Caenorhabditis elegans: one gene and its partners. The protein of the gene in region 3 binds, or shares a complex with, the protein of the main gene of each other region. Each region holds a gene or a part of one and is shown on either strand. Other genes may lie near its edges.

Evidence for each region. The genes of interacting proteins can lie anywhere in the genome.
Region 1: mdt-31 (region 3) and sop-3 share a complex: the UniProt entries of both Caenorhabditis elegans proteins name them as parts of the mediator complex.
Region 2: mdt-31 (region 3) and mdt-21 share a complex: the UniProt entries of both Caenorhabditis elegans proteins name them as parts of the mediator complex.

What each region holds. Positions count from the first base shown.
Region 1 is NC_003279.8:2,773,102-2,777,883, forward strand, and holds the start of sop-3 (Mediator of RNA polymerase II transcription subunit 1.1), read right to left. Parts: upstream 3,001-4,782; 5' UTR 2,982-3,000; coding exon 2,844-2,981; intron 2,794-2,843; coding exon 2,660-2,793; intron 2,601-2,659; coding exon 2,513-2,600; intron 2,466-2,512; coding exon 2,323-2,465; intron 2,321-2,322; exon of another isoform or gene 2,284-2,320; coding exon of another isoform or gene 2,146-2,283; intron 2,094-2,145; coding exon of another isoform or gene 1,812-2,093; exon of another isoform or gene 1,811-1,811; intron 1-1,810. Other genes in the region: Y71F9B.1 (uncharacterized protein), read left to right, coding at 1,812-2,093, 2,146-2,283; Y71F9B.13 (NADH dehydrogenase [ubiquinone] 1 beta subcomplex subunit 7), read right to left, coding at 3,332-3,448, 3,886-3,997, 4,047-4,348. UniProt on the Caenorhabditis elegans protein: Component of the Mediator complex, a coactivator involved in the regulated transcription of nearly all RNA polymerase II-dependent genes.
Region 2 is NC_003281.10:11,776,107-11,780,628, forward strand, and holds mdt-21 (Mediator of RNA polymerase II transcription subunit 21), read left to right. Parts: upstream 1-1,514; 5' UTR 1,515-1,537; coding exon 1,538-1,726; intron 1,727-2,759; coding exon 2,760-2,963; 3' UTR 2,964-4,022; downstream 4,023-4,522. Other genes in the region: immp-1 (Peptidase S26 domain-containing protein), read left to right, coding at 249-479; C24H11.5 (Gem-associated protein 7), read left to right, coding at 4,129-4,212, 4,402-4,501. UniProt on the Caenorhabditis elegans protein: Component of the Mediator complex, a coactivator involved in the regulated transcription of nearly all RNA polymerase II-dependent genes.
Region 3 is NC_003279.8:8,964,310-8,967,662, forward strand, and holds mdt-31 (Mediator of RNA polymerase II transcription subunit 31), read left to right. Parts: upstream 1-1,804; 5' UTR 1,805-1,820; coding exon 1,821-1,848; intron 1,849-1,987; coding exon 1,988-2,089; intron 2,090-2,196; coding exon 2,197-2,361; intron 2,362-2,411; coding exon 2,412-2,653; 3' UTR 2,654-2,692; downstream 2,693-3,353. Other genes in the region: snpc-4 (snRNA-activating protein complex subunit 4 homolog), read left to right, coding at 67-221, 277-346, 391-615, 673-993, 1,042-1,251, 1,300-1,437, 1,492-1,614; spd-2 (Spindle-defective protein 2), read right to left, coding at 2,786-3,116, 3,164-3,353. UniProt on the Caenorhabditis elegans protein: Component of the Mediator complex, a coactivator involved in the regulated transcription of nearly all RNA polymerase II-dependent genes.

The DNA of each region.
Region 1 (4,782 bases), 6.2 Mb from region 3:
CGGCCATTTATCTTGCTTTGTTTTTCGCTTGTTTTCTTTTGTTTTTCACAGCTTTTTCCCGTTTTTTCTTATTAAAACTGATAAATAAATACTTTTTGCAGATGCTAAAACAATTTCCAACTGAAAAAATTATGTATTCAGTGGGCAAGCAGCTGTGAAAGTGGGCATTGTAATATGATGGATTACGGGAATACAAAACCTAAACTTTTTCTGAAACATGATACATATGCTGCTTAAATGCTGAGACTACCTGATTTTCATAACGAGACCGCTGAAAAAGTTTTGAGGTTTTCAAAATTCAACTTTTTGTGCGAAAATCTCGACTTTTTCACCAAAAAAGTTGAATTTTGGAAACCTCAAAACTTTTTCAGCGGTCTCGTTATGAAAATCAGGTAGTCTCAGCATTTAAGCAGCATATGTATCATGTTTCAGAAAAAGTCTAGGTTTTGTATTCCCGTAATCCATCATATTTGACCATTGACCACTTTCACCGCTGCTTGCCCACTGAATACACTTTTTTTTACTTGGAAATCGTTTTGGCATCTGCAAAAAATATTTATTTATCAGTTTTAATAAGAAAAAACGGGAAAAGGCTGTGAAAAACAAAAGAAAACAAGCGGAAAACAAAGCAAGATAAATTGCCGCTGAAACTTGTCGGCCCCTCGGCCATGGCCTAGAAACCAATTTTCCTCGTCTCTCGTGAGGAAAAAGTTGCAGTGAAATTCTAGATTCTAGCAAAAATCAGCAATTTTTCCCTGAAATTTCAAAGTTCCCGCGCATTTTGAGTCTAATAAAACAGTTTTATCGTAATTATCATCATATTCCCCTTGTTTGACCTTCATCTCTCTTATCAAAAACTACAACATACATATCTTCGTCCGTCTGCGTCTCTCACAACTAGTTATTGCAACAAAAAAAAAAACATTCAGAAGTGGTCATACTTTCATCCATAAATTCGTTTTCTTTTTCTGAAAACCACCTTCAAAATACAGAAAATCTCGTTTTTATCGAAATTTTGGCTTTAAAATAGTTTGAATTTCATTGATTTTTTTATTTTCTCGTTTTTGTAGGGAAATTTTCCTGTATATTATATTTTTAAATAAGTTTCATATAAAATTTTTATAGCTGTATATAAAGGAACATCGAATAGAAAAATAGATATTTTTAACTATTTTCTATAACTTAAAGGTAGAGTAGTCGAATTTTTTAAAATTTCTTTATTAGACTCAAAATTGTCTGAAAACACCGAATTTCATAATGAAATTTCTTGAAAACTTCTCAAAAAAAAGTTATGGCCTCTCGAAAATGGCCTAAAATTAGTGAAAATTTGAAATTTGACCAACTTAAATATCTTTGTCGCAGCAGCTGGAAACAAATTTTTTTTTGAAACTGTCGTCTATTTTTGAGTAAACAAGTAGATTATCTTGCGTTTTCAGTTTTATTAAGGTATTTAAAAGTCGATGGACGAAGAGATTTTTCAAATTTTTTTAATCAATTCTCTTCGTCCATCGACTTTAAATACCATAATAAAGCTTAAAACGCAAGATAATCTACTTGTTTACTCAAAAATAGACGACAATTTCAAAAAAAAATTGTTTCCAGCCGCTGCGACAATGATAAGTTGGTCAACTTCAAATTTTCACTAATTTTAGGTCATTTTTTGAGCGTCATAATTTTTTTTGGAAAAGTTTTCAAGAAGTTTCATTATCAAATTCGGTGTTTTCAGACAATTTTGAGTCTAATAAAGAAATAAAAAACTCAACTACACCACCTTTAAATCAAAATTTCACAAAAAATGGTTTTTTTCTAGAATGTTCCTCCGCGCCACTGAATCAATTCTCGGTTTGGGCCTTCTGGCTTACGGCCTTCTCGAAATCTCGAGAAATCCGACCTGGTGGGCCTATACGCCGGTCTACTTGGTCCCGGCGATCCTCTCCATCATTCAAATTCCACGGAACGCCACGTGGCGCACTCTCTCATCCCTCTCCATCGTCGCCGGCGGTCTCTACACGAGTTTTCTGCTGTGGACGTTCTCCTCTGTGGAATCTATACCGACGATCGATTTGGAAGAAGAAGCCAAGAACCTTCCGCCGGTAATATATTATTGATTTTTATTCTTAAATGATTCAATAAAAATCGTTCCAGGTAGCCCTTGGAGCCCTGCTGATCAGCTTCATCCGTCTCACACAGGATAAGATCTCCCAGCCGGTGCATTATGTCAGATCTTCGATTATTCTCGCTGTCGCTCTCATTAGTTTTTACGCTTTTATTTCATATTTTTAGTTTTCTTTTCCTCTGAAAAATAAATATTATTAGCTTTACAATGTAATTTCCTTCGGAAGTGAGGACAAAATCGCGGTTATCGAATCGCGAAGCTTCGAGAATTCTCCATTTTTCATTAGAGCTAGAGCTCCTGGAGCATCAGTGAGCGGTTGACCGAAATAACCGATTTTGCAGGTACTAATCTGAAAGATAGCTTTATTGTTTTGGTAAAATCCCGTATTCAACGCACTTGATCCTCTGCAACACCAATGTCGATTGTTACATCAGGATTTCTGATTGAAAATCCACTATTTTGAGTTGAAAACACGCAATGTTCTCTGAAAAAAAAATTATTTATAAAATTTTTAATTTAAAAAAAATTTAAAAAAGCACTCACCCTAGGCCTTCAGATAATTGTTGAACTTTTCGAGCAATAGTAGCATCATTATCAATTGGTAAATGCTCTTTCATAAAAACCAGAGAGCCAAGAACGTCGAGACGGGTTCGTGCATCGAGTGTTTGCCTTTTCTCCTGAAAATTTGATTTTTTTTTCAATGAAAAACGGTGGAGATTGCAGTTACCAGCAAATTCCTCCTGACAGATCTCGCAAAATGCTCCCATCCCAGCTTTTCTGCGCTTTGGCGGACATTTTCCATTCGCAAATCTCGATCGATCGACTCCAGGTTTAACTCATGATTTTTCCTCTCTTCAATTATCATGGTAGGTTTCGCTACCTGAAAATCGATAAATATTTAATTATTTGCTGTTTAATAATATAAAAATTGAGAAATTTTAACGAGAAACCCATTAAAAATGCAGTTTAAAATAGAAAATCGGTGCAAAAAATATTTTGTTTTGCTGCGAACGACACTCCGTTATAACGCGGCGCGTGTTGTTTAGCAGGCGGATTTTAGGCCACAGCCACTGGCATCAATTGGCGGGTGTTTGAATTTAGATAATTCGTCTCAGGGTTTAAAACCGGTTTTCTGCAGAAAAAATCGATTTTCAAGTTATATTTTATTAACAAAAATACATCATGTTTCATTAATAATCTACAAACAAAATCAATTTATTCATCATCCTCGTGGTGTCTGGTGCGGTGGCGGCGGAGAGTCTTGATATCTTGATCCCGTTGGGCCATTTGTTCAGCAGCCTGGTCACGGTCACGGCGGTATTCTTTGTAGTTCTGAAAAAGAGAAGGAAATGTGATTTTTAAAAAAAAACGTTGTTTGAGCTCAATTGAGAGGAAAGGTCTTGGCGCGAGCGTTGCAAAATTAAACGTGCGCACGGGGTTCTGGCCTTCCTCATTGAATTTTTCGCGCTCCATTGACAATCGCCTGCCGGAAAACACGTGGGAAAGTACTCCACACGGGCAAATACATTTAGTTTTACAACTAAAATCGAGCCGCGACGCGACACGCAACGCTCCGTAAATCTATGCCAGATATGGCCGAGCCTAAATGACCTAGTTCGGCAAACTCTTCCATTTCAATTTATGAGGGAAGCCAGAAATCCGTGGAAAAGATTAAAAAAAGGAGATTTTCAACTAAAAATACATGGTTTTTTTCTTTAAAAATTCGAAAAATCGATGGCCTAGTTTTTTTTGAGTCCTAGGCCACCTACCAAATACGCCTGGGGTCTCTGCCCATTGCTGGCGCGAACACAGTAGAACAAGTCGTGAAGGCAAGTTGGAAGATATGTCTGTTGAAGCCCAATGTTCACAATATTATCGGCTCTGAAAAAAAACAAGTTTTATTATTAATTTTAAAAAAATTTAAATTTACCTGTTATATGGATAATGTCCACCTTTTGCAAATTTATAATCATTCTCAAGCTGTGCCATACTTGCCGGCCGTCCGTCGAAGAATCCGAGATAAGTTGGTGGATAGTAATTCGGGTAGTACCAGTTACCGAACTGCCCGTAGTCTCTGGCGGTATTCTCATTATAGTAGATATACTTTGGCAGGACTCTCGGCGAGTTTTCGTAGGTCCTCTGGTAGAATGTGTCGGCGACCTGGCGGTTGGTGGTGTCCGCCAGTTTTCCCGGCCCGGGGCCTCCGCCGCTGAAATTGCAGTCCGCGACGAACTGAAAGTTGGGAAGGTTGCACATCATTTTTCGAGTCTCGCAGCGAATTATAACTTAGTCTTGACACGACAATTATCACGTGGTGTCAAAGTGCCCCAAATGCGGGAGAAGAGACGCAGACTTTTAAACTAATTTCGCATAGTTAAGAGTGTGCTGAGAGAAAAATTCCAGCATTTTTTGTAGATCAAACCGTCATGGGACAGCCTGACACCACGTGAATTATTGGTTAAATGGAAATGAACTGTGCGCCTTTAAAGATTACTGTAGTTTCACCGATTTCCCATAGATTTTCTCACGATTTTTCAAAGTTTAAGAGTTTTCATAATATATTTTTATCGAAAAAAAAATCGCTGGAAATTTAGCAACAAAAGTAGATTGTGTCGAGACCGGGTACCGTATTTTCGGTACAAAAATTGCAAGTTATTGCGACTAAC
Region 2 (4,522 bases), on a different chromosome or scaffold from region 3:
GATTTTCCCGAGAAAAAAACCCTAAAATTTCAATTTTTGCAGGAAGGCGACCCAGTGTCATGTTTTTAGCCAATTTTCGTTTAAAAATCCGATTTTTCATCCAAAACCACCAAAAAAAGTCGAAAAAAAAATAATTTTTCCTTGAAAAATTCAATTTTTTCCGATTTTTTCAAATTTTCAGATGTTTTTAGCCAATTTAAATGCTATTTTTCATTAAAAAAAACCCATAAAATTTTCAATTTTTTCAGGAAGGCGATCCAGTAACCTCCCATTTGCTTCCATCTGGCAGAGTTCCAATTGGTCACGTATTCCTTCGCGGTGACAACGGCCCAGTTTCAACAGATTCCAGACATTTCGGCCCGGTACCTGAAGCCCTTGTTCAGATAAGGCTCAGCCTGAGAATATGGCCTCCAGAGAGAGCCGGATGGATTTCTGATCATTGGTTTTGGGATAAAAGTGATAGAAATGCAGAGAAATAGGCTTCTTTTTCAGTGTAATTATGTGCTTTTCCACCCTTTTTTCCTGGTTTTTGTCTCACTTTTTTTTTTGCCATAAAATACTATTTTTCCATGTTTTTCTACTTCCATTTTCTATTTTTTTAATGGGTTTTAACCCTATTTTTACCTGAAAAAAACACTTTTACAGCAAAAATTCCATGAAAACTATCAATTTGAAGCCAAAAATCCAATTTTTCATCAGAAAACTCTCTAAAAAGTCGCTAGAAAACTAGAATTTTTGGTTTTCAGCGCAAAAAAAATTCAATTTTTAATTGAAAATTAAAAAAAAAATTAATTTTACTCATTTTTTATTCATTTTTATCCGATTTTCAGAGCCTTTCGACCAACTTTTCATCAGAAAACTACCAAAAAAGTATCAGAAAGTATGGATTTTCAACGCAAAAAATTTAGATTTCCATGGTAAAAAGTTGAAAAAAAAAATCGATTTTCACTCCATTTTAATTCATTTTTATCCGATTTTCTCGAATTTTCAGAGTTTTAGCCAAGTTTCGTCTAAACAATTCAAACGTCTACTAGAAAACCTCCTAAAAAGTACCAAAAAACGCACAAAATCCGGTTTTTTATTAGAAAAATACCTTAAAAATCGCAGAAAATAAGGATTTTTTTTAGTTTTTCAACTCAAAAAAATCAATTTTTCTTGGTAAAAATTTGAAGAAAAAAAATAATTTTTATCCGATTTTCTCAAATATTCAAAGTTTTTTAGCCAATTATCTTCAAAAAATTCAAATTTCTACTAGTAAATTCCTAAAAAGTTCCAAAAAACGCATAAAATCCGGTTTTTTATCAGAAAAATACCTTAAAAATCGCAGAAAATAAGGATTTTTAGGTTTTCAACTCAAAAAAATCAATTTTTAATGGAAAAAATTTGAAAAAAAAAATGAATTTTCACTCCATTTTAATGCATTTTTATCTGATTTTCTCGAATTTTCAGAGGATTTCGACCAATTTTTATACGAAAATTCCAATTTTTTATTAAAAACTACATTTCAAGCTCATTTTCAGCCCAAAAACTCTTGAAAATGGCTGATCGAATGACCCAACTACAGGATATGATTAACGAAATGGCCGGATTAATGACAAATGCGATTGGAGTGCTCCAGGCGACTGCTCCGCCATGTGAATTTGGAGCAATTTCACAGGAGCTTGAGGATGAGCCAAATTGCGCGATTTTTGCCGCTGGAATTGCAAAAGCCGCTAAAAATATTGAGGTTTTCTATAGAATTGAGCATTTTTCGGCCAAATTTTCAGAAAATCCTAAGCAAAAAGCTTCAGAAAAGCTGTTTTTCTCGTTTTTCAAACTATTTTTAGCCTGTTTTAACTCAAAAAATTCCAGAAAATTCCAGGAAACCCTAATTTTTATTCAAAAAATTACAAAAAAATCCTCATTTTTACCCGACAAAAATTTAAAATTTGTATTTTTCTATTTTTTTTAACTGAAAATTAGATTTTTTTTTGAAATTTTTGTGAAAAGTGGATTTTTTTTTAATTTTGAGTTTTTTTTAGTTTTAAATTAAATTTTTTTCGGCTGAAAATGAGGATTTTTGTAATTTTTGAAAATTATTGTTTCCTGGAATATAAAATAGTTTGAAAAACGAGAAAAACTGCTTTTCTGAAGCTTTTTGCTTAGGATTTTCTGAAAATTTGGCTGAAAAAATTAATTTTACAATATTCAGCCAAAAAATTTCAGAAAAATTCAATTTTCGGGTGAAAATTTGAAAAAAATTGTGAAAATTCGATTTTCCGGGTGAAAAATGAAGAAAAATCGAAATTTTTCTTTAAAAAAATTCAAAAATCCACATTTTTAGCCGAAAAAAAAAATTAATTTAAAATTTAAAAAAACTCAAAATTAAAAAAAATCCACTTTCCACAAAAGTTTCAGTAAAATTAATTTTCAGCCAAAAAAGTACAGAAAAATCCAATTTTTATTGAAAATTTTAAGCAAATTCTCATTTTTGCCGAAAAAATCGTGATTTCTACCCAAAAAACAGCAAAAAAAATCCAATTTTCTGTCGAAAAATTCAATTTTCGGGTTAAAATTTGAAAAAAATTGTGAAAATTCGATTTTCCGGGTGAAAAATAGAACAAAATTAATAATTTTCTTGAAAAAAATCTCAAAAAAATCGAATTTTAGGTCGAAATTCTTTTGAAAATTCGATTTTCTGGGTGAAAAATGGCTAAAAATCGAAAAAATTCAATTTCCAGCTTAAAATTTCGGGAAAAAACCAATTAAATAATTTTCAGATCCTCATCGACTCATTCCCAATCGAAGCGGGCAACCAGGAAGCGGAAGTCGAGGAGAAAATGATAAAAAACGACGAAAAGCAGCGAGAAAAAGTGAATGAGCTCGTCGGACTCGTCGGCGACAGCAATCGGCTCGTCGGAGTTGTTCAGAAGAAGCTTGCCGAGATTTCAAAGACACAAATGAGCTCGAGACCCAGTGAATAATTATTATATTTTGCCGATTTTTGCCGATTTTTTATTGTAATTTTCATCATTTTTCCATTATTTTGGGCCGATTTTCTGGTAAATTGAGAAAAAAAAATCAATTTTCTAGTCCATTTCCTCTTGACAATTCTTTAAAATCCAGAAAAAATTGCCTAATTTGCTGTGAAAATTTCAATTTCATATCGATTTTCATGTTTTTTTTCCATGTTTTCAGCCGATTTCCATTTTTTTTTGTGATTTTTCCTTAATTTTTCGATTTTAAATCAACTTTTTTTCCATTTAAAATCGATTTTTCATCCCTTTTTGCCCCTGAAAATAGTTAAATTCTAATTAATTTTCCCCTATTTTTCTTGAAATTTTCGATTTTTCTCATTTAAAATCGATTTCCACCACTTTAAATAATTAGAAATTCCCAGAGAAAATTGATTTTCATAGCAAAAAATTATTTTGGGCCGATTTTCCCGGAAAATTGAGAATTCTAAATCAATTTTCTAGTCCATTTCCTCTTGAAAATTCCTTAAAATCCAGAAAAAATTTTGCCTAATTTTCCGTGAAAATTTCAATTTCATATAAACTTTCATGACTTTCTATTAAAATTGGGATTTTTCCCATTTAAAATCGATTTTTCAACCCTTTAAAATATGTCAATTTTAATTTATTTTCATTCATTTTTTCCCATTCAAAATTGATTTTCTACCCTTTTTTCTACTGAAAATTTGCTAAATTTGAAAAATTGTGGGTAATTTATCTTTTTTTTTTTAAATTTTTTTCCTCAAAAATAATCATTTTTAATTCAATTTTCCCCCATTTTTCTAGAAAGTTGCCAATTTTTCCCCATTGAAAATCGATTTCCACCACTTTAAATAATTAGAAATTCCCAGAGAAAATCGATTTTTTTTCAAATTTTTCCCTTGAAAATTCCAAAATTTCTTAAATTTCGAAAAACTGTGATCTCTTTTTCTTTTTATTTAATTTTTAACTGTTTTCTGTATTTTTGCCCATTTTTTACACTTTTCCCCCAGAATTTGGGTATTTTTAAATTTAAAATTTGATTTTTTTTTTAAATTTAATACTCCTCATTTTCCTATTCTATTGGCAAAAACCATGGTTTTTTATCTGAAATTCTCTTAAATCTAGCCTAAAACCCTAGCAAAACCACTTCCAGATGGCCCAGAGCACACAAGAAGCAGAAGGAGAGCAACAGAGGCGACAAGCTGTGCTCCGGGAGCGATATTTGAGCTTTTTGCAGGTGAAAATTGGACATTTCATCTACAAAACCTCTCAAAAAATCGATATTTTTGGTGAAAATCTGAAAAATTCAGCGAAAATTTTGAAAAAAGCCACCGATTTTCTCATTTTTCAAGTCTAAAAACTGAAAATTTTCCAAAAATCCCAATTTTTGTGCCATTTTTCCCCGAAAATTCTCGAAAAATTCCAGAAATCCGCCGACAAGCCAGCCACCATCGAAATGTGCGAACGAACTACGGTCACCGCCACAATTAAAGCATTTCAACCGTCTTCGGAGCACGTGATCGTCGGTACGGTGGCCGTGGCCTAGG
Region 3 (3,353 bases):
AGATCAAAAATAAATTTTTTAAAACTCATATTTTTATTATTACTATTATTATTATTATTATTGCAGGCCGCCGCTAGAATTCGAGCTCTGAAGAATAAGCCGGATTATCAAAAAATCCAAGATAAAATCAACGAAATTGTTCAAAAGCACAAAAATGCAGCCGAAATCGACAAAGAACTACACTCCAGTGAAATTCTCTCATCGCTCACAATCACGGAAGTGTTAGTTGAAAACCAAAAAAAAAACACCATATTTTAATTACATTTTGTTTTTCAGTGATGTTCGTTACATGATAGAAAGAAGCAAGACTTTGACGCGTTACTACGAGGCTCGACAGTTTAGAAAGGTAAATTAATTGTACAGAATATTAACCCATTGAAAAATGTTCAGAACGTGGATCAAATCGGATGTCGTGTTCGTCCGATTAAGATCGATTTGGATCCAGAAACAATGCCAACATTTGATCCAAATGATGCTGAAGATGAAAAGCAAATGGTCATTGTGGAGTCGTTGTGCTCTGTAATTCGTGCTCACGACGTAAAAGAATGGGGCACTAAGTTTTGGAATGAACATCGCTTCACAGCGCCGAAATACGCTAAAAGATTTGTGGAGAATGTGAGTCAGAATAGAGAAAATAAAGTTTAATGAAAATTCACATTAAAATTCTCACAGATGGTCATAAACAAGTCAAAAGAAGTCGCTGAATGGTATTTACATGTTAACTCAAAGTCATGCAATCAAAATGATGTACATTGCCCAGCCAAGTCAACTCTTCCTCCGACTGCTGCATCATTCGATCTTCACAAAATGCTTCAAAAAGCCCGTTCTGGATTGAATCGTCTTTCTGCTGAACACTTTTACCCTCTTGATGTCTCTCTGGCTCAACAATTCAACTTCAAAAACGACGAGAGAGAGGGCCTCGACGGAGACAGACGTATGCATATCGGGTTGTCTGATGAGGTCACCAATAGTAAAGAGTATGCGAATTTTTATGTAAGTGAATATATTATATTCTTATTTTTATTTTTGATAATTTTTCAGGCTCGAATGCGTTCGATTCTTCTCGAACCAATGCGTCTTGGAATTGCTCGTGAATCGTCGTCTGATGAAACCAAGCGGCTTGTGCGCTGTCTTGCAGAGGAACGCGCCTGCGATGAAGAACAACAAGTTACCTGTGACCAAATAAGACGACGCCGGATGCCTGATGACGAGATCTATGTTACTCCAACTTCAATCTCTAGAGAACTAAATGTAAAGTTTTTTGCGTTGTCTCCACTGCTAGACGTTGTTTTTTTTCAGAACGGCATGAAAATCGATACCACCGAGTTGTTGGCTAATCTGGACAAGAATTCTGCGAAGAAAATCAGAATGAAAAGGAAGATTGGAGAGGTGAGATGTGACACTAAAATTAAACTTTTACCCCTAGTAATCCTTGCGGTACTATTATCTATATTTTTCTCATAGTCCTCAATGAAACAGTATATTTTTCAGACCGTTGCGACAGTTGCAGCGCGTCCTGCTCGTCCACCGCGTTCATCTGCAGGTACACCCACTCCAAGTCACGTCTCGATCGATACGGAGAGTAATATTTCGCTCAAAGTGGAGTTAGATTGAATATTCTATTATTGAACAATATAACTATTTTACCCAACTCTATGTCATCCTCTCCTGTGCAGTTTTACATCACTTTTTTAAACTGAACCCATTAAAAGTTGATCTCCTAAGATTATTTCACTTTTGTTTTATTAACAATCTCAGCTCTTTATGAACACCATCTGTTAAATTTGTTTTTCTTTTTCTAATAAAATGGTTTTATAGGCATGGGTCGTTTTAGTTTCAATCGATACGGTATGTTTCCATTGGAATAATATATTTAACTCATTTCGTAGTACGGATTTCACCGTATAGGTGAAAAAAGGTCATAATATCAAAATTTTGTAAATTTCTGTAATTTTTCGAAGCTTGAATTCCATTTTTTTTTCTTCAGGCTACAATACAATGCAGATGGAGAGTGTAGAAAGTGAAAAGACGAGATTTGAAGTTGAATGTGAATTCGTGCAGGCTCTTGCAAATCCAAATTATCTTAATTGTGAGTTTATTCACATACACTAGCCGAGAATAGAGAAAAACGTATTTTTATTCTAAGTTTCTTGTTTTTTTATGCACTCTTTTTCCTGCAAATTTCATATTTTCCAGTTCTCGCGCAACGTGGTTATTTCAAAGAAGAATATTTTGTCAACTATCTCAAATATCTTCTCTATTGGAAAGATCCTCAATATGCCAGATGCTTGAAATTTCCTCAATGTCTGCACATGCTTGAAGCACTGCAGAGTCAGCAATTTCGCGATTCGATGGCTTACGGTAGTTCAAATTTTATTTAATCTATCAGAAGAATAGTAACTTATTTTCAGGACCAAGCGCGAAATTCGTAGAAGATCAAGTGGTTCTCCAATGGCAGTTTTATCTTCGGAAACGGCATCGTTTGTGTATGATGCCTGATGAGGGACAAGAGCTTGAAGAATCTGAAGATGAAGCTGATATTCGACAAAAGGACACAGAGGATGAAGATGATGAGGAAACGATGAAGAAACCGGATGCTGACACAGCCGAAAAGAATTCCACAACTTCTACCGTTTCAAAGAAAGAAAAATAAACATAAAAAATGTAAATCAAATAAAACTTCATCACCACTTTATTGAAATTGAAACCTACATTTTACAGAACCGTGAATTTTTTCGAAGCCTGGACAGAAATCAGAGAATATTTGGAAAGTTAGGTTAAGATTTTACTTTCTATTCGAAAATCTTGTATTGGGAACAATTGTAACGTCGTTGACAAATGTCTGATTACGGAAAGCTGTTGTCTCGAGTAGAGTAGAGTCGTCGTTGCTGCATATCTCTTTCTTCTTCCGGCTTGTAGCAGCACGGAATTCAGTTGTAGAAGTGAAAAAATTGATGAAGAAACTACGATAAGAAGCAGCGAACAGATCACGGTCCTCGGGCTTGATAGCGGGGAATCCAACTGGAACAGCACGAAGAACTTCTTCATCGGAAAATTGGAAAGATGTGAAGTCATGACCATCGATTAGTTGATGCTGTCCTGTGCGAACTTCTAGCCTAAATAATTTCAAATGTAATACCATTTCATCTGTATTCAAATTAACAATCGAAGTCTGGTTCGCATGGTTTCTTCACCCCAAACGACATGCACAAAGAATTTGGCTCCAGGAAGAATACGTCGCTGGAATGAGGATGTTGTTGAGGCTGTCGAAAGCGAAGACGATGTACGAAAATTGTTTTCATCGTGAAGATCAATATAAGATGAGTCGATGCGAATGTCAACACGCTTATCCG